2 linked regions of the Lonchura striata genome follow. Each later gene encodes a partner of the first gene's protein in a complex. Links are inferred from orthologs where the notes say so. Each region holds a gene or a part of one and is shown in the gene's direction. Other genes may lie near its edges.

Evidence for each region.
Region 2: the proteins of SERPINA10 (region 1) and PROZ are in contact, whole or in part, in a crystal structure (PDB 3H5C), measured with the Homo sapiens proteins. The link is inferred for Lonchura striata from reciprocal best matches to the Homo sapiens genes SERPINA10 and PROZ. Residues at the interface, in NP_001094077.1 of Homo sapiens: Arg88, Lys89, Ser91, Met92, His94, Asp95, His257, Asp259, Lys260, Tyr261, Asn282, Phe283, Lys305, Met306, Asp308, His309, Leu310, Ala311, Leu312, Asp314, Tyr315, Leu316; in NP_003882.1 of Homo sapiens: Cys129, Pro131, Cys141, Leu142, Pro143, Ser151, His250, Met251, Arg252, Asp254, Ala257, Glu259, Asn260, Glu284, Lys285, Asp286, Phe287, His290, Leu291, Thr336, Thr337, Arg338, Arg390, Ser392, Leu393, Trp394, Gln397.

The regions. Positions count from the first base shown.
Region 1 is NC_134608.1:15,242,709-15,259,541, forward strand, and holds the start of SERPINA10 (protein Z-dependent protease inhibitor), read left to right. Parts: upstream 1-8,088; coding exon 8,089-8,809; intron 8,810-9,754; coding exon 9,755-10,028; intron 10,029-10,717; coding exon 10,718-10,865; intron 10,866-13,027; coding exon 13,028-13,219; 3' UTR 13,220-13,225; exon of another isoform or gene 13,226-13,307; intron 13,308-15,586; exon of another isoform or gene 15,587-16,726; coding exon of another isoform or gene 16,727-16,751; intron 16,752-16,833. Other genes in the region: PPP4R4 (serine/threonine-protein phosphatase 4 regulatory subunit 4), read right to left, coding at 16,727-16,751. UniProt on the Homo sapiens protein: Inhibits activity of the coagulation protease factor Xa in the presence of PROZ, calcium and phospholipids. Also inhibits factor XIa in the absence of cofactors.
Region 2 is NC_134604.1:91,534,783-91,551,343, reverse strand, and holds the start of PROZ (vitamin K-dependent protein Z), read left to right. Parts: upstream 1-9,257; 5' UTR 9,258-9,314; coding exon 9,315-9,381; intron 9,382-10,909; coding exon 10,910-11,073; intron 11,074-12,459; coding exon 12,460-12,484; intron 12,485-15,243; coding exon 15,244-15,357; intron 15,358-16,561. UniProt on the Homo sapiens protein: Appears to assist hemostasis by binding thrombin and promoting its association with phospholipid vesicles. Inhibits activity of the coagulation protease factor Xa in the presence of SERPINA10, calcium and phospholipids.

The DNA.
Region 1 (16,833 bases):
ACGGCGATTGTGGACCGCCTCGGCAGCAGGCTGAAGAGCTGGTGGGGAGAGGTGAGGGAAGGGTGTCAGGCAGCTGGGATGGGGGCAGGGGTAAGCATGAAAGAAGGCCTTGAATCAAGCCTGCGTCGGGTGAGGCCTGAGAGCCGCCATGGAGGGGAAAAGCTGGTCAGATCCCAAGGGTCCTGGCCCTCTTGGCAGTACTTTGCCCAAGGCCCCAAGGCAGAGGGGGACTTGCAGCCCAGGGAGGGAATCAGGGCTGGGGGCTGAGCCCCAGGGACACCAAGCTGAGCTGCTCAGAGCTCTTCTCCCTGCAGCCTCAGCCCTGGGCAGCCTGGCCAGGCCAGAGTGTCTCCTGGGGCGTCCCAAGTGATGGCCAGATGGCTCATCGCCACACTCTCCCCGTTCTGTGTCTTGCAGGAGAAGAGCCAGAGCCCCCCGGTCTGCGCAGGGCAGCGCTGCTGCCAGGGACGCGGCTGCAGCAAGGAGCTGCTGCAGCTGCTGAGGCAGCACGATGCCCTGCTGCGGCTGTGCCTGCGCCTCAGCTCTCCAGAGAGGCGCCGGCAGAAGACCACAGCCAAATGGGGACTGCGGAAGAAGAGGCGGCTGCACTTCTCCCCCCAGCTCTGAGGTCCCCAGCTCTAGCTCGCCTCTCGGCTGGCAGAGCAGAGCTGGGGCATGTATGTTTTTAGGTGTAGGTTTTAGTTAGGATCCCCTTTGTTAGCTATAGCTCCCCTTAGGATAGCCATAAGTTCCCCAAAACCTTTTTCCCAAGATGAAGTTTTTCTTAGCTTTCTAGTTCTAAGATATTATCAAGTTCGTTTAGGTCTTAGGTTGTCCCCATGTAGATTTCCCACCCCATAGTTTTAGATTTTTGGAGTATTAAATTTGAATAAAGTTCATCTGTTTTTTCACTTTGTTGTTTTATTTTCTGGATATTCCATCCCCGTAGGGGCAGATTGACTGATGATCATACCCGGTAGCTCCAGCCAAGCTGGAATGGGAAGCGTGAGTGTCCCAGCAGGGATTGAGGGCATGTGGAAAGAAAAGGGGGTGGGCAGTATCCACCTGCCTACATCTCTCATGGAAGCTTTGCTTGGATCCCTGCGTGCCTTATGCTGGGGGCCCCAAAAGAGTGCCCTGGGCTAAGAAAAGAATCCCTGTTTGTAAAACAGGGATTGTACCATGTGTTTGTGATCTTCTGTACCCAGGTTCTGAAGCTTCTGAGTACTGAAGCACTTGTGTGCATCAGCAGAGGTAGGAACTAGGTACCTTTGAGATGCCGTGCATAGGGTGGAGCAGCACACTTTGGGCTCCTGGCATTCCACTGGCAGCACTGCAAGGAGAAAAGAGGCAAAGTGATTGTTGGATGCAAATGTACACAGGATGACAGGGCATGACCCAGCTGCATTTAAAGAGCAACTGAATAAAGGTTTTGAATCACAGAATGGTTGAAGTTTGGAGCAGCCTCTTGATATCATCTAGTCCAACCCCTCTGCTCAAGCAAGGTCATTTGGAACCAATTGCCCAGCACAGTGTCCAGCTGGGTTTCAAAGATCTCCATAAATGGAGTTTCATGACCTCTCTGGGCAACCTTTGCCACTGTTTGACCACCCTTACAATTAAAAAAAAAAAAAAATCCTGTTTTCCGTTTGAATTCGATGTGGCTTAACTTGTGCCCATGTTCCCCTTTTACTGAGCACTACCGAGAAGAGTCTGACTCCCTTGCCTTCATTCCTTTGCATCAGGTGTTTAGATGCACTGGTAAGATCACAGAATCACAGAAAGGGTCAGGTTGAAGGGATCACAGTGGGTCATCTGCTCCCTGCTCAAGCAAGGTTTTCCTGGAGCACATGGCACAGGATTGTTTCCAAATGGATTCCCCCTGAGCCTCTCTTTTAACAGTTCTAGCTGTCCCAGCCTTCCTTCATATGGAGGGTGCTCTAATCCCTGAATCATCTTTGTGGCCCTTGGCTTGGCTCACGGTAAGTCCATGTCTGTTGTGTACACAGAAGCCCAAAACTGGGCACAATTCTGAATGCACCATGCAGGCAAATCTAGCTCCTCTCCAGATCTGAACCTTCACACTTATTTTCTTTTTCAGTCCTCAGTCCCTTGGTACAGCTTCCAGCAAGTGTGCAAAGTGCAGCGTTTGCACACCTTTCCATCAGAAGTATGAGTGAAGCTATCAGGTTCATGATGCCAACAAGAATTCACAAGCTGATTCCTGCAACTCAAATCAATCTCATGTTCTGTGAAAGGAGCTTTGTTACCAACCTCACTTCCTTCTGAAAGCTGCCAAATGCTCCCTATTTGATTGATAATCCGTGTAAATTTCCTGTGTACTTCATGGGGAAAAAACCCATATTAATTTCTTGCTGGAGCTACTGTGTTCTTATAACAGTATTGATCAGTCATTTACACTGATTCAAATAAGCCCAGTTAATATTTTTACTAATAATTTGATTGCTATAACCAGACACAGCAAGAGCAGGTTAACTGGAGCTTAAAACTGGAGTCAGAGATGGAAGATTTGTTCACTCCTTCTTACCTGAATTCCTGTCCTGAAGGAGTGAATCAAGGTCAGTACATGGACACATTCCAGAGTTAGTGAAATCTACAAAAGAGATACTTGTACCATTTTTACAATTTCTTCTGCAAGAGTCCTGTAGAGAAATAGTCGATTTATTAAAAAAAAACCAAAAAAACAAAAAAACCAAAAAACCCGAAAAACAAAACCAAAAACAAGCAAACAAACAAACAAAAAGGTGGGGGGGGATTTTTGTGGTAATTGGGAGTGGGGCTGCAGCCAAGCCTCCTACCCAATGGGTACAGCTGTGAGAAGCAGGTGAACAGCACTGAAAGCCAAGAGCCATGGAGTGCCTCCATTGGGGGGTATGGTAGGAGGAAGGCTCGACAGAGTTCTGTTGTGTGTTTGCAATAATACTGTAGCAAATGAAAACACTAAAGCAAGCTTCTTTTGTTTTGGGGTTTATTTTTTTTTTTTTTTCTTAATAGACAAACTGATAGGAAATGAGTTTCCTATGGGACAGAGCCAGGAGGAATGGACTTCATATAAGATTTTCCACACTATTTGTCTTGGTTTGACAAGACAGGAGTCTGTGAAGGAGGGCAAAAGCCTCCTGTGCAATGGAGAAGGTAAACTCCCTCCCTCCGAATTACCAGGATTTTTAAATGAAAAGGCTCTCAGGCAAAGATATGGGAATGGGAGTAACAATTCTTTACTAGGAGAAACTAAATAACAATTTAAAAAGGCAAATGCAATTGGTACAAACAGAACTAGTGATAAAGTCCACAACCTGACACCCTGAGGAGTCGGGCTGTTGGTAGCAGTCCAGTTGAAATGACAGCTGCTCGTCTTGCAGTGGCTGATGAATTGCAGCTGAAGTGGTGATCTTTAGAAGGGTATAGTTTTCTCTGAAGATCTGGTGGCAGTTGGGCCGGTCTTCCTCTGGGAATCCAGCAAAGGGGCCACTTCACTGGGAATCCCGCCAAAGGAGCTGCTTCTCTGGGCATCCCGCAAAGAGAGAGAGAGCTGCCCTGTCTCCCCAGAAGGTACCACTTTATATCATAAAAGAGTGCTTGGCTTCCCCCTCTGGGTGGAGCATCTCACAATGGGATGGTGTAACATTACCAGGCCTGCAGTGAGTCAGTCAATGTCCCATTAACAAACGATTACCTCTTCGGAGCAAACCATCGTTCTTGGAAGAGGTAATAAACCTACCCAACCTCCAACAGATGGCAAATAGAATACAAGCTTATCCTACAAACCAGAACAGATAGTCAAAGACTTTTTGATTTCTTCAAACCCCTCTTTTCAGTACCATGTATAAACAATCTTAATCTTTTGAATATTAAATATCAATATTGAGTGTCTTAGTTTCCAGCAGTGACCATGTGTGTCAGCATCCTGGTGAGAGGAGGAAAAGGCTTGTTTGCCACTATCATTGCAAATAACCGCTGATTTTGCTGAGCACAAAAGACAGGGTCTGTGTCCATCAGGTTTTCCTTGTATTTTCTTTTGGGCCACAACCACAGCACCACAGTTTTCAGAAGAGATTCAGAGCCACACCACAGTAATGCAGCTTTGTTCAACCATATTAGATGCAAATTTCTGCCACGCAATGAGAGGATACTTGAATTTCAAATCAAACTGAATTAACCAGAAATACATATAGACTAGGAAGCAGGAAAAAAAAAGTGTCCAGTCACATGGATAGAGAACAGAAGTTCTGAAGTCACTGGGGCACCCACAGTAGATCTTTTTCATGTTTAGGGACTAGACTGCCTGACATTACAGGGCCTTCAGTTTGTAAACCCATCTTATTTTCCCATATTCTGTAATACAATGCCTACACTGGGGGTCTATTATGACCAGGATTGCTTCTAAAAGGAAAAATATTTTAAATTAATTTAAACAAACTAGAATTTAAGAAGCTAGAGTCTGTGACCCCTCTGTTGAACTCCTTAAGAGCACAAACCCCACAACTGCCCTCCAGTATGGTATCCTTGCAACAAGGATACAAATCTGGTATCCTTGATACCACACAACAGAGGGGCTGCATGCAGTTCTTAAGCCCTTCCTAGTGAAATCTTACAACTTGTAAGCAAACACTCTTATAGAAGCAATACTCATCAGCAACAAAAAGCCTTTTTTAAACTGAGTCCTGGATGCCCTAATTCTTTATGGGCTTTCAAAAATATCTACTACATCCACTTAGCCTGCATATAACATTTATTTTTTCAGTTCAGTGGAAAATTAGAGACTAGTACCCTTATCTCACATTTGAAAGCCACATTATTTTTATTTTACAATCCAAATCAAAATTAAATGTTCTATTTCATTTGGGAGTATTTTTGAAAAAAATTAGGAACACAAAGGGAAGATAGGGAATTCCATGTGTATGCTTTATCTGGAATTAGGCCAATGATCAAAACAGTGAAGCGTTTAGACCATCCCACTCTAGAGAAATTGTTGAATGAACTATTTGTCTTAAAGAATGTGCCCTGCCCAAATAATGAGGCTCAAGACACAAATCCGTTCAAGCAAGACCAACTGAAAATTCAAATTTATTAATGCCTCCCATAGCTCTGTATAACTTTTGTAGGGATATCAGCTTGGCCCACTCTGTATTTTATGGGAGAAATCCCTCAGTGGTTATCAGGCAGTTGATGTTGGCAGACTGATTTATCACCGAATACCTGGCACATTCTTCAAAGTAGGAGTGGAGCCGTGGCCTCTCCTCTCAACATGTGGCCAAATTGCAGGGCAAGGGTGTTGGTAACACCCCTACAAATGTTCTGTACCTTCTCCCTCTCTCCCTCCCTCATGCCTTGGTGAATATTGACATATTCTTTTATGTAAGGGGATAATTTAAGCAGGATTGGATACGTCTTCCACCACTGAGTAACTCAGAGCCTGCCTGAAAAATAATTCTCATGGGCTATTGGATGTGGGGGCCACATCCTGATAGGCTGCTGAAGGGCTAAATGCAAAGAATTTGTTGTTCTCTTGTTTCTCGTGAAAGACAGAACATATTTACTGGAATATAACCCTCCCTTATTATGCCATTTATAGGAAACACATATTCAGTGTTTATAAAACAGTTAATTTATAACAGACAAAACCAGATTATCAGTCTTTGGAAGAGCAAATATTTGTTCAAAAACTTCTAAATGGGACAGACATCTTAATCTCATTTTTAAACATAACTGATTGAGAAACATAACAGAAGAGCTATCTAATAGGTAAGATAAGATTTATATGAAGTATTTAGATTGTAAAGAAAATATCATAATATATTTTATATATATAATGCAATTTTATATATTTATCAATGATTCTCTAGATGTGATGTTTTAAATGGTTGTAGATCTTAATCTGTTTCTAATGGATTTTTGTCTTGCTCTAATGCTTTCAAAAGAAAAAGGCATTTGCACAAGAAGCGTCTTTCTTTGATATTGATAGAAATAAATATTTCTTAAAATGGAAATAATGTTCACTTTGCTCTGACACACATTTATTAATGAGCTCTCTGCTCTACAAATAAAGTAAGTTGTCTAAAATTAGCAATAAGCTTCACTCAGGTCTAAATACAAGTCTATACTGTACATAAATTCTACTTTATTGTTCCCAGAACTGTTTTTCCTAGTTCTAGAGGACATGCTCTGTTTCTAACTAGTAAAGGTGAATGATACAGCTGCTTTAATGTAAACTTTAAATGTTTGCAATCTCAGATTTGCAGTGATTACTTAGTGCAACTGCAAGGTTCTTATTTCCATGTTCACTGCACCCAAATCAGTAGCACATGTGTATGCGTTTGCCTGAGGATTCAGGAATCTTTCCTTGAGTGTTGAATAATTTGGGATAAACCTGTAAACAAGAGCTTCTGCATTTGTCCTGCCCTTCCCATCCAAAACCAGTCTGTGTGGGGTAGGCAGAGCCCTCTGGAAGGCAGCTCAGCACTTTGCCCAGCCAGTCCCTTCACATCTCCTGGGGATGCTGGCGGCCACTTGAGCCACGTCCTGTCCCAGAGCCCCCAGAGAGAGAGGCAGCAGTGACATCTGCCAAAGGCAACGCTGTGTGCAGGAATTGCATCGAGAAGATAACAGAAAAGATGAGGAAGGCCTTGTGCTCTGCAATACCTGGTGAGCAGTTAGGCCTGATGCTCTTTCAGAGCAAGAAACTGCTGCTGCAGGAAATCCTTTCCCTCTCATTGAATATGATCAAAAGCAAAATTTTCCAATCCCTGCCTCTTCACTAGAGCTGACTCTGCAGTGTCCAAGGATGCTTCTTCAAAGTAGGGATGACTCCCAGAGGAAAGAACCTCCTTCTTTGCTGCCAGGGCAGGTGCAGCATTGCGGCAGGAACAGGACCTCTGTGCCTGTGTTACTTCCTACAGAAGTGGGTCACTACAGCAGAAGGAATGTTCAGCAGTTCCTGCACTAACTCTGAGCTGGCTGCTTCAGCCTGCCAGGGGACAGTGAGTATCCCAGCACTCCAGATGTCCCATGCACTGCTTGGCTAGCAAGGCATGAGCTGAAGTCAAGTCATCCCCTTCCTTACTCCAGTCCTGAAAACCCAGACACTGAGAATCCCATGAAAAATAAATCAAGGGTTAATGGGAAAGAAAAATAAATTTAAAAATATTCACAACATATTTGCTGCATATTTTTCTCCGTTCTCTGTCATGCACTCAAGAGCAGGCATAACATTCATCGATTTCACTGCCTCCTGATTAAGTCATGACAGCCCATCTGTGTTGCAGCAAGTACAGAACATGACCTATTATCTCACAAGAAAATAGCACACCACCTGACTGCCAAAAGCACCTCGTGACTTGGCACCCAAATGTCTCAGTACTCACATCAACATACCTTTCCAGGACTAACTCCCACAGCCTGAATCAGCCAACTGTGAAATTCAGCTGAACTCTGAATAAACCGGATAAAACCAGCTTCCCCATATGCCAAATCACAAATTATACAATGACCATAATTTGCTGCTACAGATCCTTAGCTTAAAAGGAGTAGTTAACAATTGCCACGTGATTCTAGACTGTTGAATCACTTACTACTTTAATGACAGGCCATTAAATCCATCTTTTAATCTCATTTACCCCTTTGCCCACTGCTATACAAAAGGAATCTGTGCAGGTTTGGTGGTCTTAAACACCCCATGTAATTTACAATGGGAAAATGCATCTCCAAAGATTGTAGCCATTCAAAATTTTTCCGTAAGGTGCAATTCAACACTACTTTATGGGAGAGAATTCATATATTGCTACATGGAAAGATGGATAATAATCATATTTGCACTTTATGCTTGCAAAGTGCATTTCATTTGCAAATTTACACAATGTCTGATGCTAAGGTTTGCCTGAGGTGTCCTGCAAGATCTGCCTGGTCTTGTCTGAACATTTTGTTGGCCAGGTTTCAGTATATACCCTGAAGATGCAGAAAGACCTCTGCATCTTTGACCTTTTGCATTCTGAATTGAACAAACTAAAAGTCATTTTGTCGCCTTTATTTCTAGGAAAAACTCTAAAGAGCTCATTACTGGATGTCAACATGAAAACAGGAATCTACATACTTCTCTTAAGTGAAATATGTTTTGAATTTATCCAGGCTGATATCAAACCTAAATTTCCAAAGGAGGAAAAAGAGAGTAATTTCTTGGAAAGAAGTAACATCAGTATTTCCAAAGAGTGGTATCACCACAAAAACATCTCTAAGCCTTTTGAACACCAAGGTTTTGAAGACCAAGGTTTTGAAGACCTCACTCTTCACAACTTCACTGAAAAGACTGCAAATTTTGGATTTAACCTCTACAGAAAAATTGCAATGACACACGATAACAATGTAATCATCTCTCCCCTTTCTGTGTCAGCTCTCATGAGTGTCTATATGATGGCAGCCAAAGGAGAAACACACAGACAAATTGTAAAAGGTCTAAATCTCCATGATGTGAAGGACAGAGTGGATCACCAACATTTACCAGCTTTGTTTAAACAACTGATAGGTAACATCACAATGAATGAAGAATTTCTCCTCGTGCAAGGTATTCTTTCTTTTATTCAAAAGGACTTCAAACTCAAGGAGTCTTTCCTGAATTTATCTAAGCAGTACTTTGATATGGACTTCCTGAAAGTGGACTTTGAAAATTTAACACAGGCAAAACATTTCATCAATCAAAACATTAACAAAATGACCAAAGGAAAAATCCCAGTGTTTTTTGAAGAGCTGGACCGCCATAATAAACTGGTGCTTGTGGACTACATTTTCTTTAAAGGTAATTGCTGTTTTTATTTTGCAGAATAATTATTTATTAGGAGAATCAAGACTCTAACTTAAGCTACATTAGGGGGAGTTTAAATGAATTTATATGTCCTGTTTTCTCTATGTCTTTATCTAAGTTTATTTTTTTTTTCTATTATGCTTATTTAATAGGAAATTATTTTTCATGGCAGGGAACCATAATTCGTCTATGCTGTCTTCCATACAATAGACTCTCAAAGGGAACAAAAAGCCCTGTATCAAACTATCTCAGTCCGTCTCCAAATTATCCCTCTTTATGACAGGAAACATTGTTTTATTTTCATTCACCCATTAAAATGAAAAAGTCTCAATCACAATAGTCTTAAATGCTGAATACTGGGCATAAAATCATGGACTGCTTTAGCATAGTACACAAAATCATTCAAACAAAAATGATTTCTCTATTTCAATCAAGAATCATCTGCCCTAGAGGAACTCAAGTACCCCATTATATTGCCTTACAGGGTGAGGGAAAGAAATGGGCAGAAACCATTCCGTGGAGAAGCCAGTGAATCCCCATCCAAAATATTGTATAATTAAATTAAATACAGGACACTGAACTGCTAGTAGAGAATTTCAGAGGTTACATGTTAGGAAAGGTCAGATGCTCAACAGGTATCAACAAAACAAAGGTAACATAAATTCTGAACTTGAGTGGCAACTAACCAACCTTAGAAAAATATCTCCCTTCTTTCTGTGCAAATGAAGCAGTTTATTTTGTGGATTACTTTGGGGTTTTTTTCCTGTAAAAATATTTATATACAATAAACATAAAATATACTGAAATTGTCATCCACCAATCCCAGACACAACTTATAGCCACTTCAAATAGATTCAGACTGTATCTTTTAAACTTTTTAGAACACTTTTCTGAACAAATCTAAACACACATAATTATTTAATTTCTTTCTTTCCTCAGGCAAGTGGGTCTATCCATTTAATTCCAAATTCACAGAAATTGAGACTTTCCACATAAACAAATACAGAAGTGTACGGGTACCTATGATGTTCAAGTCAGATAAAATTAATTCAACTTTTGATGAGAACTTAAGATGCACTGTGATAAAGATACCTTACAAAGGGAATGCCCACATGCTGATTGTTATCCCAGAAAAAGAGGGAGACTACATTTCAATTGAAGACCATTTGACTACAGAGCTTGTGGAATCCTGGCTTGGAAACATGAAAACCAGGTATTGCTTTGACACCCATGGGTCCTAATGTCTTTGATGTCTACTCCAGCAAAGCAACAAAGCCCGGGAAAGATTAGCTGGTCATCCTAAGCCTTTTCCCCTGGTAGCATCTCTGTGGCAAGAGGTATCTACAGAGTAGAGGTCCTTTAATGGCCTATCCATAGCCCAAGTGGCATGTGAAGTTTTGACTCCAAGGGGACAAAACTTCAGCTCATCTCAGTTAAAAATGTCTCTCTCTGTGAGGGCATGAGTCTTTCTATATTCTCCCTTAGGTCTCTCTCCTTAAATTAGTACTGCTGAGCAAAATCCACAAAAAATCTAGACATTTATTAAACATTTCTTACCAGAGGAAACCCAGAGGAATTGATAAATTTAAATATAAAAATGTAAACCCAAATGATTCCTGTGAAATGTAGTTCCTGAAGTGAAAATTCTTTCACCAGTCAATGAAGTAGTGTGTTGCCGTGGTATCAGGACACTGTAACTGCTGATGGAAGTATTTATACAGAAAAGGAAATTATTTCTAGTATCGCTGGCAGCCAACAGGTTAGAAATTATTTTCTGCCAACCTAAATGCTAGACTCTCCAGGTTTTGTCCCTTCTTTTTCTGTGTAAAGGTTAATTCCTGAGTAGTGTGCATTTCAGCAGTCAAGTGACTGTTTGCATTTAATTTTATTTTTTTTTAACAGAAAAGTGGATATTTCATTTCCAAAGTTTAAACTAGAGCAAAAATACAAAATGAAGAAACTGCTTCAAGGTCTTGGAATTAAAAAACTCTTTACACATTCAGCAGATCTTAGTCATCTGACAGATCACAAATATGTAGCAGTTTCACAGGTAAGCCCACTAAAATTATTTGCTGTTTGGATTATAATAGTATATAAAGAGCCAGCCAAGATGGTCACATGAATGTGTAGGGACACTAATAGCAAAATACCTCATCTGCCAGGTATGTGCAATCTACACACCTTAATCAGAACCGATCCCACTTCAAGTATGAGGTGTGTAGAGGTAAGGAGAAGTGACATCTCACAGATGCTCAACACCTCCCAAATCACAGGAGAGGATTCAATCTGCCTCAAGAGAAATATGGCTGGCAGGTTATGAGCACAATTTTACAAAAACTGTGGACAAGAAAGACAATATAAATGACAGTCAAATGGCAAAAGCCAGGGCAAGGAAGGAAATTCAAGGAAAGAACTCCTCATACACAGTCCAGAGACAGGTACACTTCTCAAAATATAAAGAACCTTAGAAAGTTTAAATAATAAAGTGTCAAAAAGTTAGCAGTGAGGGAAGAGAAGTCAAAGCACTCCTACTTTTTCTTCTATATACTACAGAAGAGAGAAAACAGAATCTCACAGGAAAGAATTGGCATAATACAGTTGCACTTCAACCCATATACATCTTCCACTTTGTATGCTGAAACTTTCAAAGAACCTTTAAACATGTAAAGGCAAGGGCAGTGAACAGCCCAGAAGACAGAAACACAGCCCCACGCAGAAAGAGGAGTAGAAAGTGATATTTTGTATTGCTGCTTAAGGGAGAGCACAGGTGAATTTGAGAAGACTGATGGAAAACACAGACAGAATGAGAAGCAGCAAAGAATGGAAGACAAAGGACTTGCCAATCACATCAATATCAAGAAGGAATGTCTATGTGACCAGAGATGTCTTATGAAAAAGAAACAGCTAGTCTATAAAAAGGACAATTTGCTGATAATAGAAAATTAAAATGCATGGTCAAAGAAAGGAGATGAAAGACAAAACACACAGAGATACTTGTACCCACAAGTATCTTCCTTATAGAAGCCTTTGTGATTAGCCAATTAACAGGGTGGGATAATAAATACTTCTATACAAGTTTCAAAAACTCTCATGCTTGACCTACAGGTTTTCAAAATTGTAGTGGCTTAACAAAACAACCTTTCTGGGAAGATCTAACATCCTAAGAATAAACTGATTAAAGGGATAAAACTGCAGTGATTTTCAGTTTGGTATGAACTATTTCACTGTTGGGAAATTTAATGGCGATCTGCGACTCTTTTCTCCCTTCCTCTTGATCACATAACTTTCATGCTGATTCTCAGCTGTAGAGTTGTGTTTGCAGCAGTTAACTCTATTGTGTTATGAAAAAATCACACTTTAACAGGAGCTGCTAACTGATATTAGAAGCAATATGTGCATCAGCTACGAAGTGCCAGAAGAGCATCCTGTCCCTGGGAATTGTGAAAGACAAAAATATTATTTAAGAATATGTAGCACAAACCTCAACACTGGTGAAGCCCTTCAACTGTTTTCACCTAAGTAATTCCTAGAATTATGAGTTTAAGAGCTGTAAATCCACAAGATCACCAGGCAGTTCACCAGTACAGATACTAATACAGCAGAAGCACACACAGATATAAGCAGGCTGAAAGAACAAAATGGAAAAGATGGAAAAATGAAAAATCAGATTCTGCCAGGCTGCAATTTCAGTGGGTGTGGAAAATATTCAAACCAACCCAGGACTGTGCCTTATTGCTCTACATATTTAGTCTGTGCTACCAAATGTACAAATTAGAAATATACGGGGGAAAAAATAAAGATTGGTGCATTTCCCTCAGCTCTCACAAAGTCAGCTGTGAATGACATATCTGGCCAGTCAGTGTTTGTGACTGGTGAAAACACATTTCCTACAATTGAGAAACATCTTTGCACAGTTAGGTGTCAAATAGGAGCACTCTGCACAAATGCAATGGCTGTTTCATGCAAAACCCCTGATCTTTAAGTGAGGTCTGTGCTCAGGAATGTGAAAACGTGCAATGACTCCTGAACTGGCATCCACACTGTGAGCATTGTGGGCATAGTGGCTGTGCTGACTCCTCCACCAGTCTAACAGAGGTAGATTGCACTGAACTGTTCATTTTAATGCATAACAGAAGCTTTCTTCACCTGGAAGAATAATCTTCATGTTAGTATTTACTTCTGTCACATACTTATTTCTACCTTGCACTTCAGGTTGTCCAAAATGCAGTTATTGAAGTGGATGAAGAAGGAACTGAGGCTGCAGCAGCAAGTGCCTCAGAAATAACTGCATTCACAGTGCCTCCTGTCATCAAAGTGGACCGACCATTCCTTTTCATGATTTTTGAAGAAACTTTTAAAACATTACTGTTCATTGGCAGGGTGATTGATCCAACAGAAATGTGAATAAAGGTAATAGTTTCTATTTTTTGGTATGTAAGAGGCTTTATTTTTATTAATTTATTTTATAATAAAAAGACACTGAAATGTGAAATGTGAAAACCCGTTTTGTCTCTCCTAGTTAGATCATGCTAGCAATATTTTATTAATGCCACACAACAAGCTAACTTCATTAAGGCTCAAAGCAACAAAAATGTGACTTGTAAAATCTACCTTTGGTAAAAGAAAACCCAACAACCACAGAAGTGAAATTTAAAAAAATCAGTATTTTCGTGAAAAATCTGAATAAAAAGCCCCAGACATTCAAATGCCATAATATTCAGGAAGCTCATTCCCAAACACTGCAGATTCCTCAATGTTAGCTTCTTTACAAAGAGACTGAAGAGCCCAGTGACCTGAGTGTTAGCAGAATTTTGCCAGTTATGAAAACAGAATGAGTATCAAATCCTAAAAGTGAATTCTTAACCTTTGTCTAGAGATCTTTATTTCATAGAAAATAAGTCTATCATGAAGTCTGCCTTGTGAGTGTGACCTCTTTCAAAGCATTTATCCAGACTACCAAATCACCTCATTTTCTCAGAGTACATGATGTGCCTTAAAAATATTCTTTGCATTAAAAACAAAATAGTCCTGAAAAATAACTTAGGCATTCTGAGTTTGGAAAAACTGGCCTGTACTATTTCATAGCACAAAGCTAGCCCTCTCTTAAACCCAGACTTTCTACCTGTAATATCATCTAGACACCAAGGTGAACTATGTAACAGGGCTCTATAACTGAAATAAGGCACACTTTGGTAGGAAAAAACATACCTCTATTAAAGTACAACAAATTTATTCACAGAGCTGATCCTAAAATCCAAAAGGTAATGCCATGATGTTTCAGAAAAATATTTCAGAAATATTTTCAGAAAAATATTTCCATGATCTAACCACAATTTCCTTTATTCAAGTAGAGCAGTGCATCCAACAAAATGACTAAATCATAACATTTAATAGATTTTAATTAGCAGAGTCCTATGTATAAAGTATGAAACAATGAAAAAGCTGCTTCTAGGTTTATGTAATTAACAGATGTCAGCGTTATTCTGCTTGATCATATAACCCTCACAAAATAATTGCCCAAAAAGGAGCAGAAGCCTTTTCAAAATCATTTGACAAGGAACTTCACAGGTGTCTATCAGTAAACATAAGATACCTCTGCTAGAGAAGATAGAAAAGATACATTATAGGGTAAAGCTGGTAAATCTCTAAAAATCACCTCAGTTACCATTGCCCACGACAGCCCAGACACTGATGTACCTCACTGAAAAAAGGACTTAGGAGGCAGGCTCTGCTATTTGACTAGACTATGAATGTGCATCTAACCTAACTCCAGACTGCATTACAAATATACCCAGAAAGAGAATCACTCCTTCCTGCCACTGGTCTATAAGAAAACCAACAAATGCCACTGCACAGTTGACCTTCAGCTGTTATTCCAGAGCTACAGCTGACCAGCAGGTACAAACAGTGCCCCGAAGGGTTCAAATGCACTGGTGCTGTTTAGCAGAACTAACCCAGAAGTAAGTGGCATCTAAAAAGACTGCTTGGAAGTAGGTCTGTAGTGCAAAGGACTGATGAAAGTATGCACAAGACACCAGAGGTATTGCACAAGGAAAATGTCCAATCCACAAAATGTCTAAACAGAGCATTTAATGATTACATTGAAGGAATTTTAGGTTATTGAGTAGAGTATGTGTTATCAGCATTAAATAAATCAATAAAAGACAGACTGTTTAGAGAACTCATTACCTGCTTATTAAGGGGAGAAAGAGCTTCAATTCTCTGAACTTACTGGTTGCTCTGCAAGGCATTGAAAGGGCAAACACAGTCTTGAGTCCTGTTCTACAGCTGGCTACTGATGATCTGAGTTTGGTCCCTGCCAAAGGTCAGATTAAGAACAGCCTGAGCAGTCTCCTGTGACCCAGGTGAGCAGCTGTAGCTGGCACTTGAGTCAGCTGTGCCTGGAAAACCAGGAGTATCTGCCTGCATTAATGAACCAAAAGCAGAACCCAGGAGGAGCCAGCCAAGGTCACCTGTACACCTGTACCAATACTGAATGTTAAACATCATAAAACTCAAAAAGCTTTTAAAGAAATATGTGATTTACAAAATCCTATGCCAGGCTGCAGAACAAACTGAAAAATTAAGTATTTCCACAGAACCCAAACAATGCCTGTGACTTAAGACAAAGAATGTTGCTAAATCTACCTGAGGCGTAGGAAGCTTAAGCATTGAGACAGTGCTTAATCCAAAGAAACATTTTGTACTTCACACAAGACAGCATACATCCAGCATTATTTCTATTTTAAATAAATACCCTCCATAGGTAAGTGCTTTTATTTATTTTAATTATAAAAGATGCCCTGAGAATTATTTTTTCAAGAACATGCATGTATAGCATTGTCCTAGGCTTTATTTTGAGTAAATCATCATTCATGTTTTTACATTATAAAAAGTAACCACACACACATATGCATACACAGACCAAATCATCTTTATCATAAACCAATAGATTTAAAAAACCATATATTTCTCATATCAATATATTTATGCTGCCTCCATTTTGAAAGAGAAGCTGACAATAGCTTCATAATCCCTCTCTCAAGTATTGGCATAAATAGAACTTTTCCAAATATGATTGCATGTTTTTCCACATAAATTTTGACAGAAACATTAATGTTATTACAAACAAATGCAGATGACATCACTGAACTATGACAGCTTACAATAGCAGCTGATTAAAAACTAGATTCATTATTATAAATTATTACAGTGAAAATACAATTTGAAATACTAAAATTAAAACAAGTATTTATACAACAAAACATATTAAATAAAACTTTTTTTTTTTACATAATCCAGAAACATTTACTTTTAGATTGCTTTGAAACTTACACAGAATTTTTTATTAACTTAGTACTTGTAAAAACATTAATTCCAAATTCACAGCACAATGCTTCAAAAGTCTATGGTTTTTAATAGACTGATCAATGGTTCTGGACTTTGGTCTTAAATTAGGTGTGCAGATCTTTAAAATGTGGGATTCCTTTTCCATATTCATAACAATTCCTTCAATTTCTTCCTTAAGATATGAAAGCTAAGGGTTGCTAAGATTGTAAATAAGTCAATTAAATAATGGATATGTTCATTCTAAATCCAAGACTTCAAACTACAAAGGCATAACTGAAGAAAACAAAATCTCCTTAGCTGCAGCAGTTAAGAGCACATAGCTGAAGTTATAGCTCATATCATTTCACTACGATGTTAGAATTCGGCAACCATTACACTGTTTATCAGAACATATTTTACAGCTTGGAACTTTATTAAAAAGATTTATTTTAATTTTTTAACATTGCAGGATGCATTTTATTTAGTCCAGACATTAGAGACTCCCATCTGCTGCTCCCACCTTATTCCACCAGAACGTTGCTTCCTCCAGTCTCTGCTTCCCTGATTTTTCTGTCAGATGAGCTAGGAATTTGATTTTCTGTTTTTTCTTATACAAAAGAAGAAACACACATAATATATTGTTACTATATTATTAAACTGCATAACATATTACACTGCTATTGTGCAGA
Region 2 (16,561 bases), on another chromosome or scaffold:
TCAAGAAAGTATTCTGTGTAATTGGGTGTGTTCTCTCAGGGACATGCAAAATCCATGTCCCAGCAGGGGGAAAACCATATCAGAAACTGGTGATTAGAACAGGGCTAAGATTCCTCTTCTCCCAAAGACTGAAACAGGCCTTTCATGCTATGGAGCATTTTGTTAGAAAGCAACAGGTTAGATTTTTGATTGATAAATGTTGCTGTCTAGTTTCAAGGCCTCAGGGATATGCTGATCCAAATAAGTAGGATCTACATATCCAAATAAGTAGAAATCCAAGAAATTTTTCACTTTACAGTATACTGTTCACAAAGACTCATTATAATTTCAGTAGTAGTAACATCATGTGACTGAGTTATATTTCACCTGTTTCTCCTCAAATACCACCTGTTCCATCTGAAAGAAATGCAATCTGCCTTTCTCTTTTTTTCTAACAGCAGGTTTTCTGCAGTTTTCATGTGGCAATCTAAAGACACTAATAACTACTGACACTGAATTTAATTCCATCAGTTTTGCCTTCATTGAAATTGAACATAAACAATTACTAGTCTTAGTCTATTCTGTGTCTGATATATTTTACAATGCCCTCTATAATTTAATGCCAAATTACTATAATGAGCTTATGATTCCAAGCATAGAATACATTATTTTCCAATTAAAAACAAATTATTAACAGCAGCTACAGAACAATAATTACCAACAATATATACCAATAATGGAAGATGTGTAACTTTCAAATACTTTGAAATGCTGAATCCACTTGCCTACTTGCTCAAAATGGGTAAGTTTTAAAAGAAATGAAAGTGATTTGATTTTTTAAGATATTCCAATCTTTTTGCACATGCAAAGCTTTTGTTAATACCTTGAAAAATTTAGCATAGCCAAATCTGACAAGGACACCTGCATATCTAATTAGATTGTAAAAGGCTACTGTTGAGGAGTTTTCTTTTAAATGAATCTTAAGCAAGTTTTCTCTTGTTTTCATGAAGGGTTGATTCCCTGAAAGCGACCTGTTTCCCTGCAAACCATTTTCCTCCACTGTAGGTATCTATCTGTAACTCTAAAGGCTGCTTTTGACTGAAAAATCTGTGTTCCAGCAGGTTTGAATAATTGTGGTGAAAACCAACTCAAGATGCAATGGAAACTAGATGTATTGTCCTGACCATAAAACTATTCTTTATACCGAGGGCTCTGTCAGACAAGCTCTGCTGAGTGGCACTTCAGTGACAAACATTGCTTCCAACAGCAACTGTCTGCTCTGCAGGGTTCCTTGCATGTCACCCAGCTTGGTACCTCAGGGACAGCACAGGCACCATCCCCCACGGAGATGGAAGACCACAGTCCTTCTTTCCTATATATTGGCTTAAACCAGGTGTTTCTGAGCTCAAGTGGAAGCTGGTAACACCAGCTGAGCAGTCACAGAGTGTGTTCAGTGTTATGGACAGGGGCTCTTTGCTGCCAGCAGTCAATGCATGCTTCCAAGTCCCCGCAGCACCCATACAAAAAGCATTTTGATTATGCCTTTGCAGTCCAGTTCCCACATAAGGCTCAGAGATCAAAAACTAGATGGCAGAAAGTCACAGGAATCACAGCAAATCCAGATGCCCATCCTGAAAATGAGGAATCCACTGAGGCCTTCAGCAGACAGTTGGAGGTCACCAGGGAGGCTGGCATTCACCCAGCATGTCCCATGGCAGGCAAGGAGCCTGGACTGGAGGCCTTTTCTCCTCACCAGGCTTCCCTGGTGTCAGAATTTTGGGTGGCTTATTCCTCTCTCCTGAGTACTGTGCTTCTGCACAGGTCTCCAGCCCTGAATGTGTCTCTATTTCAGCATCAAGCAAGTGCTGAGAGGGGCAGTCTAGGGAAGAAGTGGGTGGCAGATGTGGAATTGTTGGTAAGTGCTCCTTATTTTGCCCTTTACTACAAAAATAAGAAAATGTCCCATGTTTTATTCTCCATATGCGAGACAGTGAATTTTAGCAGAGTTTTTCTTACCCTCTTTTTGTTCCTTACTGCCTCATTTTGTCTCTTGAGTAACAGTGAAATACATGGCCAAATTTATAGAATAGACAGTTTCTTTAAGCTTGTCTTGACCTAGTCTATTTTATGTATGTTAGAAGACAAATATAAACTAGGGAGTTATGTGGGCAGGTAAGGCTGAGCTGATGTAGTTAAATTGGTGTAATAGTACAACTTTATGCAATTTCCTGTGTTGGCCAAACACTGAAGAATTCCAGAGACCTCATTCAGATATTAGCAATAACTGTTTCGACAGCATGATGATATTATTCTGGGACTGTTCCATATTTGAAACCTCAATTATATTGTTTACTATTTTTGTTTATTAAAAAGTAGTTTATCACAAATTCTAGGCACTGAAATATGGTGTTCTGAGTCATAAAAGTTGTACTCAATGTACCAGAGTAAAGCAAAAATTGTAGTTGTCTTAACTCCAATTGCCTGACCATTTAATTCCCAGACTTCAGACAAATTGAGGAGCACAAATATATATGTGAATTTGTAGATTCTTTTATGCAGAATGTTGAATTTTTAAAAGACAATAAATATCTCTTTTCTATTTAAGTCTGACTATATCGCTCTACAAATGAGGCAAAATTCTTCTGTGTTGAGTCTTGTCTATCATGAGTGCCATAGCAATACTGTAATGAAACCCAAAAAGTTTTATCAAAGTTTCCATTGAAAGCATTATTCTGATTGAAATGTTCTGATTTTCTACTTGCTTGGCATTTTGTCAGCTCTCTAAAACGTCTCCAAAATGGGTATGATTTGCCGTAGCTTCAGGATACAGGACTAGTCAATTTTATTTGTACAGCACATTGCTTATACAGAGTACAAGGAACTTTGGTGTCTTCTATTATTGAGATGCCTTAGACTTGTTGGTATTGTCTTATTAGCAACTGCTTTCATTATCTGACACAGGGATGGTAGACAAGGAAAGGTAAGACCCAATGCACAGAGTGGAAAAATATATGGCCATGCTGAATTGGATACAGAAACTTTCAGCAACAGCAGTCTTTCTCAAATTGGAGAAACCTATCACATTTTCTGGGGTTGTTGTCCTACCATGCCTTCCAGAAGATTTTGCTAGATATATTCTCGTGGAAGAGGTTTTACAGTGACTTCTGTGACCCAGAGAGAAGTTTGGTAAGAGGATCCACGTTTACCCCTGAAAGAATTTTCTAACAAGGCCATTGACATAAGAAAGAAAGAAGGATAAGAGACACCTGCAACTCTCTGCTCAATATGCATTTTGTTTGTCCTTCCTGACCAATGAGTAAAGCGTAAACTTATGAGTCTTGTAAGAATGTATTAAAAGCATGCATTCTATAATAAAACTTGGGTTTGAAGCCTTCTGAAAATTGAGTGTTGTTTTGTATTGTGACCATGTCAACTGCAACATATTCTGATTAATTAATTGGAATTGTCAGTGGCTTTGAGAACATGTATAGAGAAAAAAAACCCTAGAAAATGCAAAAACCACTCATGGATCCAGAAGAGTCTAATTAACTGTGCAGGTCGCTGAGTGAAATGAGTTGTTAGATGAAGTTCCTTGAATTGGAAAGGCTTGCTTGCTGTCACCAAAATCACTGCTGTTCTGATAGCTTCTTGCTTTCTTTCTGAGATACTTTCTTCACCAGCATTATTGATATAAGGGTTTTGGCTATCATAAAGTGAATGCATTGCACACCCTAGAAATTACAATATTGTTATATATTATTATTTATATGAAGTATTATTTAAATCATTCAAATCTGAAAAAAAAATTAAATATGCAAGGATAACTAATATTTCAAGACTAATAAAAGCCTAACTCTCTTATCATCTGAACCTGATATCCTCTGTCTGCCTTATTTCAATCCAGAGAAAAAATTATTTGTTTTGCATCCAGTTCAGTGGTATGTAAAAAATTGCGAAGCAGGTATTGAGATATTTGAGCCCCTACAAAAAAGTACTTTGTGTTGTACTTCAAAAGGTGTGTCAGTTTGTATTTTGGAAGAGAGAAGAAAGATGTTATAAATTGGATTGTGGCATAAAATATGCAATATTTTTCTCATTCCGTACCATACCCATTTCCAGTTTTCAAGTGTGAAAGTCACTATTTGGGGATGATTTTTATAATAGAATTTGTTGATCAGTTTGAAAGGAATAGAGTAGTCAGTGTTGTTCTGCAATGATCACTGTCTGGTTTCCTATAAAAACTCAAAAACCCACTCTGGAGTCTGTCCCATTTGTATTATTTCCCTGCCACTTTTCTCTGACACATTGTAAGCTTCAGGCTGCTAAATAAATTTGATTCAGGAGTGACAGTGCATTGTAGGTAATGGTGTTCAAGCCATGGATAGAAGCTCAACTCCTGATGGCTGCATACGTCACTCCCTGACGTCACTGCTCCAAAGGATATACCCCTGTTTGAATTCCCATAGGACCTCCTTTGAAACCTCTGATTAAAGTTCAGCCCTAAACTATAGAGAGAGCCTGATACATGGAACAGTGGGCCATGCTCGGATGTGTCCCAGGGGCTACAGGGAGGCCATAACAGGGCTGGCACTTGCTGACCCATTCTCTCATTGCCATCCATCTCTCCTCCCACTCAGCCCCTCCATGACCCCTTGTCCCAGTTCTGCAGCACTCCTGGTTTAATCATAATCAGTTACAGAGGGCACAGACATCTCTGATGGGCTTTGATTGTTGTCTTTAACTCAACATGCATTCAGAGGAATCAGTCATCTGAACTCCTTCCTCACCTCCCAGTTTGTAGTGCCAGTCATGAAACACCATCATCAACCTCCTCAGACATTCAGTACCAGATAAGAACAAATTCTGTCTGCAGGGACACTTACCACAGCTGCTTAATTGCACAGAGAACTGCAATCCTCACTCTAGACACATAGCCAGGCACACATCATCAGTGCTCTGCCTCATGCTTTTGGGTCTGCACAGACAGGACAGAGTACCAAACTCTTTCTCCAGAGCTCCATAGCCAGCAGTGAGGAATAAAGACATAAACACAAATTAAAGAGATCTTTAAAACAGCATGCAGGGAAGCCTGGGGCTGTGTGTTGGGTAAGAGAGAAAACTTCATTTTAACTTCAGTCATCCTGAAGATGAACTTTGAAACTTGAATAAACTTTTTTTGCCATCCTATTTGAATATGAATAGAGTTTTTTCCTGTCATAAATGCAGAAGTCAATCTCCAAAAGTAGTCCAGCAGTGTGACAGTTGCACAAGTCCACAGAATCCATGTCTCCTATGTCTTGGAAGTCAGCTTGGTGGCAAAAGCCAGTTCCACCACCCAGTTACATATGTCTGGGCTGTGGGTGGAAGATGTTGGGTGCAGTCTTTGCACTGGTGCTGCCGAGGTCATGTTAGCACTTCCCTCCTGCCGAGTCTGTTGCAGAAGAAGTGACTGGTTGGTCAAAGGAACAATTTAAATTATAGCATCTGGACACAGCTGCAGAGCTGCTGCCCCATGTCCTCAGTGGAGAGAGTCAGGCAGAAAAACAGAGGAACAGGAAACTGCATTAAAAAGTCTCAAATCCAGGTAAATTCCACGTGCTTTCTTGTCTCTTCATTGTCCACTTCAGACTGCATCAGTGTTCCAGGAGTTTGCCTGAAAAAAATCTGCTGCTTAGGTTTCTCTGAGAGCCATCCTTCATTTTTATCTTGAGCTCCATACTAGGGCAATGGGGAGATGTTACCAGACAAAGCTGGAGGAGAAAAAAAATCTTCATCCAAATGGCACAGATTCCAAAGTGATTTTGCTTCATTTTTTACATGGGATGAGAGGATATTCCTCATTTGAAAGCAAAATTAACCATCTTGTCAACCCCCCTTATCCATCATTGAAACTGTAACTAGGAGCTGAAGTGCTATGATGCTGTCTGTGCATGTGCTCTGCCATCTTCTGGTTCTTCCATAGCCAGTTTTTTTGGCTGGAATTTTTGTAGGGAAAAGAATTTTAATATATAAGTTGAGGGAAAAGGTAAAGAAACATGAAGGTGGAAATAAAGAAATAATATTTTAATAAATAAAATATTAACAATTGCTATTTTTAACAATATATGCACAGAGCTTGCATCTACAGAGATCATAGAATCATAGAAGGACTTTGGTTAGAGGAGGCCTTCAAAGATCACCTCGTACAACACTGCCTGCCATGGGAAGGGACACCTTCCATTAGACCAGGTTCCTGAAAGCCCCATCCAGCCTGGCCTTGAATACTTCTGGGGATGGAGCAAATGTAAGAGGTGTTCCAAGGTGGCTTTTGTTTCACTGCCAGGCCATCTGGACGCTTGCATATCCTTGAGAGAAGGCTGATAGTCTTCTTATGGATGCAGCACCCAAAGGAGAAAATCAGAGCTCCCTTCCCCTGTTTGCTCCTCCAAGGTTTCCTTCAATCTGTAACCAAACCACAAAGAGTGCTGATGTTCTTTTGAAACAGCCGCAAGTTCCTCCTCATTTAGAAATGCTGATGCGCTTTGGATTTGGCAAGAAAAACTTTTTTTTTTCTGCAGGTGGTGAACAGACTTGGCTGATCTCAATCCAGGTGTTTAGATGAAATCAGTACCCATTTTAACTGCACTAAGCAGCTCACTAGCTGAGGTATGCATTTCCAAAAAAGCATGTGATGGGTTACTCAGGACAGCTGCCCTTGGTACATCGTGCTGCAGCAGGGCTGATGGCCAGCCCATAGCTGGAGATGGGTGGCATTGACATGTCCCCATCACTGACTGCCCCATCACTTCTGCCCCATCACTGCCTGGGCAGCAGGTCTCCAAACCCACTTCCCCTGGGCTGCTGAACTAGGCAAGGAACAGCTTCCATGTGAACCAGTTGCTAAAGCAGGACTAACTCCCTCAGCTGCTCCATCCTGAGGAGCTGCTGACTTGGTGTCTGACACTGCCTGCAGGCTTCATCCTGGAATGAGTAACCCTTCAAGAGGAAGGCAACACCTAAACAAGGCTGCAGGAAATAGGGTGCAGGACTCCATAATGAAACACATTGTCATATGCTCACTGTGGTAATTAAAGGAAGGGGAAAAGAAATCCCAGTAACTCTTTATAAAGAAACACATGAGGAAAGGACTGCCCTTTTAAACCCTTCTTTTCATGAAGTTTTCCATAGTAATATGAAAGTTAAAATATAAACCTGTCGCATTGATGTCAATACAGAAAAAGCAAAGTCAGTGCCATGCATACTGAGTACACCGAGTCCCATTCTCAAGGACACAGCTGCTCAGTCAAGGGATATCTTTTGTAAAAAAGATCCCACAGTAAAAGGAAAAAGGGCCATGTAAACTAAGATCTTGTGAGAATACAGCTTCTAAAGCTCTGGGTTATTAATATTAAACCAATTTGAATGACAAACTTATACCTACAAGAGTTCCTTAGTTGATATAGGTTTAGGTTTGTGACATGTAAACAGTTTCTTAAAAAAAAAAAACAAAACCTGCAGATCCATATTTTTGTGTTGGGTTCTGCAAAGTCCTGTGCTGACATCAAGTGGTGACATATTTTTCATGCCAAAGGGAGCCAGGCTGGCTGTGCTGTGCATGCACAGGATAATATTCATTATCACGAGAAGGTACAGGCAAGTGGTCCCAGGCCACTGGGGGGCTACAGCAGCAGCCTCACTGTCAGGTGCTCCCGTAGGGAGGGACAGCCAGAGGAAGGTGGAAAAGCAACACAACCCCTGCAAAGCAAGGCAAGGGGGAGAGGTGAGCCTCCACAGTGACTCCTGGACACCGGAGGTGCTGTCTGAGCCCCCAGCATCCACCAAATGTGACCACTGGCAAAAACTCTCCCTTTCCTAGCCAAGAAAGCTCTGGCTGGGTGAGGTACAGTGGGGCTTGGTGGCCTCAGGGGACTGAGGAGAGCATGGAGAGCTCATTTACTGAGGAAAGCTGGACACACAGTTAACCAGAGGATGGGAGGCTCTCTTAATTAGTTCTGCAGAAATATCAAAGAGAGCAAAACAAATACGTAAGGTCATGAACTGGCTGTGAATAAAATTAAACTTGGTATTAGAAAAGTTTTAACTCCAAGTGAACTTCTGGAACAACAGGCCTGCAGAAACTACAGGAAAACCCTCCCACAATGGAGTTTTAAAGTTCAGGTTGATTATTTGCTGCAGGTATTGAGGCCTGTGATGTGAGCTGTAACATCAGCCCTGGACTGGTAGGGGCTTGGTGAGGGATGTGGTTTGTTTCCCTCACTGGCCTCAATACTCACTGAAGCTTGTTTTCAAAGGTGCAATTGATGGGAAATGCAGTTTTATTTGTGGATTTACCCATGGATGTTCAGGTCAATCATACTTTATTAAAACAACTCCATACGCAAATAATGGCTGGAGATTTATTATATGAAAACACAGAATGGTCTTAGTTTGTAACTCAGATTAAGTACAAAACCACTCTTCCTCTCCCTGGTCATTGCTCTGAGTGTAGAAATGGTTTCCTGCTCTTCTCAGGAGCCAGTCTATGCTTGGAGCTCTGCAGCAGCACTGCCATTGCATGCCAATGGGTTTGTCCTTCCTCTTGTCCAGGGCTGGGAAGCAGGGACATGCTGTCCACAGGGTGCATATCTCAGCAGCCCAGGGATTGTTTCTGTCCTCTCCAAACCTTACACCTCCTTTCACAGACTCCATCTGCTCTGCATCTCTGTGTGACTGGGATCCTGACATCAGGAAAAGTTTTCCATGCTCTCCTTCATGGCTGGGCATTATAAAACTTAGAGTGAAAAAGAAAAATGCCATATCCATTCAGATACACCCTTAGGGGAGAAAATCATGTTTGTGGGCTTGGTTGCCCCAGAAGGTGGTGGGAATTTGCCCATTGTAGCTAAGCCTTGGTAAATGTTTTGTGAGTACAATGTCCTAAAGGGCCACATCGTGTAATTGGTCCCTGAGGTCATTGTCCAGCCTGTGCTCTGACAGGGTACAAAGAAATGTCCGTGCTGTGCTTCTCCAGCCACGCCGTGTTACGGTAGGTGAGCGCTGGGGCATGGGAGGAATGTCCAAATCTCGGAGCAGCTCCCAGGGGCACTGGCAAAGGCCCCACAGTCGGCCAGGGCATGGAGAGAAGGGGACAGCTGCACTGCTGAGCTGGGCGTTGATTTCTTTGGTTTAGTTTGGGTTTGTTTTCTGTGGTTTTTTTCCCTATGTGTTGACATTGCAGCCAAGACTTGCCCATAAGCAGCTGGACTTTAAACTTCAACATCTCTCCTGTAGCCATTTCCCACAAGAGCTGCAGGAATGCAGGCAGGCACCGGCACTGTCAGGCTCAGAGGGTGACAATGGCAAGGTGCTCTTGGATAATATTCTTCCTTCTCTCTGCCCTTTTCCCTCAGACAGAGCAGGCAGGTATGGCTTTTGTTTTGTTGCACCTTTAATTCTGATTTGTGCTGCTGCTTTTCTAAAAACACCAGTAATTTTATACCTTGTATAATGTTTACCTTGTTGCACAGAGTGAAATAAATGAAAACAGTCCATTCCTTATTTTCTTTAAATTCTGCTGTTTATTTCATGCAGCTAAGTGAAAACTGCTGTAGGCTAATGGGGCAATGTAGTTTTGAAGTACCATCATTTATGCCAGGGTAATATTTTGTCTTTCCGTACAATTTTTAGAGTATCTCAGATATTAAAGCGAATTTTGTTTTATATTTCTAGTTCCTGCTGAAATAAAAATGAGAGACTACTATGGAAGAGGCCAATATGCATGCTTGTTATAGCTTGAGGAAGTCTGTGTTTCTGTATTATTCTCCATGGTTTGTCAAAAAATAAAGAAGAGCCAGGCAAGGAAGAAAAATATGGTGTTCTCTTAAGAAAGTCAAAACACCCTGTGGCAGAAGTTCACTGCCAGCTGTGCTGGATGTAGCAGAACCACTGCACGGCAGAAATATGTGCTGGGGGTCAGATAACATTTAAAATGCAGAACAGTCATTAAGCTTTTCTTTTTTTAGTATCATGTGCAAGTCAGTTGCTTATGGGGTGTCTTTCAAAAAGATAACTAAATATCTGTACACAGTTCTGGAATTATTTTGCTATTGCTCTCACTTTTTCCAGTTCTATGATTATTGATTACATCAACCAGCAGTGTTGGGTCCCCAAACACTGTATAAAAGAGAAAAAAACCCTGAATATTCCCTGCCCAACACATTTACTTTCCAAGCACAGAAGAACTGACAAACACATGCTGACACACACGATCACACATTGCTTCATGTGGAAGATGAAGCTCCAGGGTGGCACCAGCTGCCCGGCAGTTTTTGATGGAGGTATCATTTGCACACCTCTCTGAAAGGTTACAGTGTTTTCCACATAAACAGTGGCATGGGATATAGCCCTTTTAACTATGAGCATTGATGAGGGGTGGTTTTTATTTACTCTCCTTAACAGAGAATTGATTGAGAACTCAGCAATGTCATGGCTTTGATCCTCAATAAAATAAAATTGCCATGAACTAAAACTGAAGAGCATCAGTTTGGATCCACCATCATAGCTTAATACCACTAATATCCACTTCTACCAATGCATCTGAAACCCCTGTGCAGTCTCACTAAATAGCCTTTGTCTTTTATAATAATGTTTTCCCCCTTTCCCTGGCTGTGGCCCGGCACTGTGTTCTGTATATCTCATGCAGTAAAACAATGTGCCAGGAAGGGTTTCAAATTCCCCCTGCTTGGGCGCAAGTCAGGCATTCCCCAGAAGTAAAAGGTCTCAACTCCTCAGCTGAATTTAGTCTAAACATTAGAGCTCTTTAAGTATGTAAGTTTTATGTGGCTGAAACCCCAAATCAACCAAAATTATTTATCTCAAAAAAAGAAGGTAAAAATATATAAGGAAATTAATCTAAGTACTTATATTAGTGTTTTGTCATACAATGTTCCAGTATTTATATCAGCTCATGATGCAAACAGTGTTATCAAGAGACAGAGACGTGCCAGTTCCCTACTTCTGGAGGAAGTCCTTGAAGGTAGCTTGGAAAGAGAATGCCTAGAAGAGAGATGTACACATGAAGAAGCAAGAGAAGTATTTGAAGATGATGAAATGCTCGTAAGTATTTTGTTTCCCTGCATGCACAATAAAAACTGCTTCCATGATCTTTTATTTGTGAAACACAAGACTGCTTCATTTGTTTGGGTTTCTCTCCACGTGAAATTTTTGCATTTTCCACCTCTGCTGGTAGCAAGCAGGTGTTTTCCATGGTCAAAATGGAAACAAGGAGGTCAGTTCTGATGTTGTTCAAGTCTTCTCCTGAAAATGATGTGTCATGCTCTTTGTATTAGTAAATCACGTGGCTGTTGTCCCATCCTGACCACACAGAAATACAGTTTCAGCATCCCTTAGGGACTAGGAGGGGCAAAGGGGTGCTGGTCAGCAGAAGAGCACCTGGAAGGCAGCACAAAGGAATTCCATTCTCTCCAGACAGTAAATTGGCTTCATCAGGGCCCAACTCAAATCCTCTAATGCAAATGCATGCAGCATGGGAAATAAATGAGAGGAGTTAGAGTTATGTGAGGCACTGGAACTGTTGTCCAGAGAAGCTTCCTTCTGTCCCTGGAAGTTTTCAAGGCCATGTTGGATGGACCTTTAACAACCTAGTCTAGGGGAAGATGTGCCTGCCCACAGCAGGAGATTGGAGTTAGATGATTTTTAAGGCCCCTTCCAACCCAAACCATTCTGTGATTTTATGACTGGGACAGAGGGAATCAATGCACCAGCAAGTAGTGGGATCTATAGAGAGAGGCTCACTTGGTGAGTATCTGCAAATTCCTTTGCACCAGGGGCTCTCCAGACATAGAGATGTCTGCTGTGCCCTTTAATAGGAATCTGGATAGAGTTTTGTTTGCAGGGAAAGCAGAGGAAACAGCTGTAGGGCTGCCCATGGGCAGCTGTGGCGCTTTGGGGAAGGGAGGGGTGGGCAGAGGTGTCACTTTGGGGAAAAAAGCCCCAGGGTCAGCTGCAGTACCCAGGGAGATGCAGGGCACAGGCTGGTGGTGACCAGCAGTGGTGCCCCACAGCTCTGCTCTGTGCTGACCACCCTGCCTCCAGCAGCACCTGCTGGGGGCCAAGTGGGATGGGACAGGATGGGGTCACTTCCCAGGCTGCTGCACACCAGAGAGACAATAACCAGCCAGTTTTTTCAGGGAGCTGCATTGTTAAAGGATCTAGCTGTTCCTCTGTGGCCTAAGAAGTGTTCATCTTCCTGAACAGCTTCTAAAGAAACAATAAAGTAAGCAGTAGACAAAGCCCCTCCCTTCTCATGTGTATATTTGCTAGCAGCACATTATAGTTGTTCAGCTTTGTAAATATTAAACCACTGTATATATTCTCTCATAACATGTTTTTTGGTTTAGCAAAGAATTTATGACATATTACATTACATGGGAATTAAATAATTTCCTAATTTTCTAATTTCCTTTCCTTTTTTTCACCCAGAATTTGTTTTGGAATATCTACTATGGTAAGCTGGCCTCTTGATTTCTCTCCTTCATAGTCCTATCACATTATGAACATTTTGATTCAGACTAATACTGATTTTCTAAGAGTTTATACTATGAGAAACAATCAGTCTCTATTTGTCATGTCTGTAGTAAAGCAGAAGGAAAATTCTACATGTGAAATGATTTTTAAAAAGTAATATACAGGAAAAACCATTTAAAGCTTCAAAAACAATTAAAGTAGAAGGTAAGTAAAGGATATTACAGTAAATGGGCTGCTTCTTTTCCTGAATCTGAAACAGCCTAGGCAATGAGAAAGTATGTTTTGCTGATACAATGCAGCAGCACAGTTTTACCAGCAAAATCTCCCAAATACAGAATTAGCACTTAAATCTGAGAAAGAGAAATCGATATTAAAAGCTACTGAGCTGTCTACAAAATATGCACAGTGGGATTGCATCATTCCCTGACAGGTGCCAAGATGAGAAACAAATCTGTAGAAGCTGAGGGCTTGATGTCAGGCCCTGAACAAGATGCCACCTGAAGAAGCCTGTGGCACCAGCTTATGGTGACTAGTCCCTATTCCCTCCCCTTTTTTGAATGCTTCAACCCAAGTTTTTCTCTTGTTTTTAACTTAGTTATTATTAATTTCTAATCTTATGTTTAAAGAATGGATACAGAAGTGGCAAAATCAGCAGTCAGTAATAATTTTCTGCACAAGCCACTAAATTACTGAGTCCTGGGAGCCATTGCATAGAAGAATCCCATCAGTGCTATAAAAGTTATGAAGAATGTTGCTAAATATCTGGCATTTTATTACTTTTCTGAGGGTGGGATTAATTTCTAATTTGAGTCATTGAATATTTGTACTAAGCATGTCATGCAGGCTTCCTCTCTAGCCTAGGATGGGAGAAGGGCAACCAGTTCAGAATGGTCCCTCCAAACAAGCTTAGCCACAATCAGGACACATTACTGACTTCAGCCTCAGAGGTGGCTTTCTTGCCATGTGTTCTGTCTTCTTCCTAAAGAACAGCAGTGTGTGTTTCCTTCTCTGTGACGTCTTCTCTAGCATTTTGGAGAATGTTGCCTTTGAAAAGTGGCTTCTTTCCTCCTCGCTCCTCCTGTCTTCCAATAATCTCATCTTCTAGACCTCTGATATCCGTGTTGCTTTCCCCTGAAAGTCCAGTGTGCAGTGTATAAATCTGCATTGTGAATAAAAAGGAAAGGCTGAGCACCCACCTAACTGCTGGGTCACCCACCAGCTCTGTTCTATACTGCTCCACCTTTGTCCCTTCAAGTCAAAATTGATGTAGTGGCATCTTGCTGAATGTCTGCTGTCAGGGCACCTTGCCTGAGATCACACTTGTTCCCAGCCTTCTTTTATCAACAGTATAAACTTAGCCATTGCCAATCTCTCTTTAAACATCACTTTCCAAAAGTTTTGTGCATGCCTTATAGAAGTCTGCTCACTGAATGACAATGTCATTGGAGACATTTCTATTGTATGATGTTCACTGATTCCCCCTAGGTCCCTTATCTTATAGTATGATCAGATTTAAATGGTTTGAATTATTTGATCTTAAAAAGTATATGTTGATTTTTACTTCCCACCTTTTTATATTGTTGTGTGCTTATAGTTTAATCATAGCTTGCCAATAACAGAAATCAGGCTGATTTCTCTATATTTCCTTGAATCTTCTCTTTCCTCCTTTAATAAAGCTAGGTGCTGGGTTTCTTTTCTTCCTAACATGGATTTCAGAGGCTTGAATCCATCTAATTGCTTCAGGCTGCAGGGGCAACCCCTCCCTAGCTCCAGGTCCTCAATTGTGCCTGCTCAGCTGTGCAGGTGATTCCCCCAGTTCACCCAAAAACCCTCCCTGGAGGCCTACATTGTGCTTGGATATGCTGGTGGCATCTGACTACAGAAGCTGGTAGCTCTTTCAGCCAGTATTTTAGTACATCTAACACTCAAAGATATGTGTGTCCATAGTCCAAGCAGATGATGATTGTTGTTTTATTCCCATAGCTGGCAGAGTTTTCACTTTTCCACCCCCGAAATCTGGTGGGGCAGCTTACTGACTGAATTAACCTCTCTGACAAGGTGTTCATTTTTAGAAAGGTTGGACAACATGTCCCAGGTTAGGCATTCCTGGCTTGCTTACTGATTGCCTATGTCTATAATAAGTAGTTGTTACTTGGATCATGTTTTCATACTGCTTAGGAGTCATTCCTGTGAGTAGCCTGAAGGGAAACTGGCAGCTCTGCCTGGTGCTTCATGCTCAGTGAGGACACCCTCTTGTTTCAATGTTCAGTTCAGCTTGCTAGTGTCTGAGCTGCTGCATGATAATTGTGCAGATATATAAAAGTTATATTTCCTCCTATTTTGATGTTGCTTGCTGTACACTTGCTCTATAATTTTGATGCCAGCTTTTTCTACCCAGTACATATCAATCTAATATGGGAGACCTAAAACAGCAGTCTTATATTACATTTCTAAAAAAAGCAAGAACTGTAACTCAGTTCTTTTCCCTGAATCAGAGCATCCATCCTGAAGGAGGCTCTGCCTCTGGGCGTCTCCCAGCCTCTCTGACAGGGGCTGCAAGAGTGCCTCTGGAAGCAGATTTGAGCTAAAATTACACCTGAGGAGCAGTTCAGTGACACTTAGCCCATTTCCTTCCAAACTGCTCTCACAACCCTTCTCTGAACAGCTCATGTGCCAGGATGGGGACTGTGTAATTTGGGATCAGTGCTGGTGGTGACTCCTCCCTCTCCATTTCTCCAGGAGGCAGGAGGTGCTCCTCAAACCCCTGCCAGCACAATGGTGTGTGTGAGGACAGCATCCGTGGCTACACCTGCACCTGTGCTGAGGGCTACGAGGGAGAGAACTGTGCTTTTGGTAAGCATTGCCTCCTTCTGAGAAGCCCCATCTCATCTTGTCACTGGGTGTCCCCATGAAACCATACGCAGCTCTCCCATGTTGCCACTTACCGTGGTTTTGGGTAACACGCACAGCTCTGGCAGAGCAGGGTGATGTGTGCTGCCTGCCTACAAAACATCCTAAAGCTCTGCAGGCTGTCCCTGTGCCCTGAGCCTCCCTTCTCCAGGAATGCAGCAAAAGAGCTGAAACCAAAGCACCTCATGGTTACACCCCAAAGCTAGCCCTGCCACTGCCACCTGCGCTGCCTGGCTGCTTGTCCTGCTGTGCTCCCAGATGTGGCCTGAAGGACTGAGGCTGCAGTGCCAGGGTGGCGTCCCAGGCACCCTGGTGCCTCTGGGGCCACATGAGACAGTCCCTCAGGACAGAAGGACTCCAGAAAACAGACTGTTTCCAGTGGAAGGCAAAAGCATAAAGTAAAACAGATGCGTTCTGGCACAGGAAAACCCTGGGCCAGATACTACATTTTTATATCTGCCAGGTTGTTCTTTCCAGCCCTGACATCAGTATTTCTGCTGGCTCAGAGTCCCCTGGGGTGGGAGACGCCCTGGCTGCAGAAGACAGGGTCATTCTCTGTATAAGGGGTGTGACTGTGACCGGCTTCTGGAGGAGCACAGAAGGTGACAGAGCTTGGACAAGAGTTGGGAATTAGATCATCTTTGTGTGAGATTTAGGCATCATGTTCTACAAGATTCTTTGCTACCTATGAGCTAGATCAAATAACACTTGCTTTGTGCTAAAGATTTAAGTGTTTGCTTAGCTGTGGAAAGTTGAGCATGTTTCAAAGTTCATAATCCCTTTCTTTTTTTCTTATCTTTGAGAGCTGATTGTTTAAATAAGTGTGCAAAATGAGAGCTATGGGTTTTTCTCAAAACCAGAAACCTTAGCTGCCTTCTTCCTCGAGCAATACTTGTCTCCATGACGTGCAACAGTTCTCCTTGCTGCAGATACTTGGTGTTTTGTTTAAAAACCCATGTCACCCTTTCCCAGAACTCAAAGGTGCTGTGTCTGGTGCAGCAAGAGGCAGGGGGGAGCACAATGAGTCTGTGAATGCTGCAGACATTCAGCTCTCTCCAATTTCTGTTTAACAAGGGGAAAAATTCCCAGTGGTAAATACTACCAAGTCAGAGTCCCAACCCACATCCACACAAAGTGAATAAAAAAT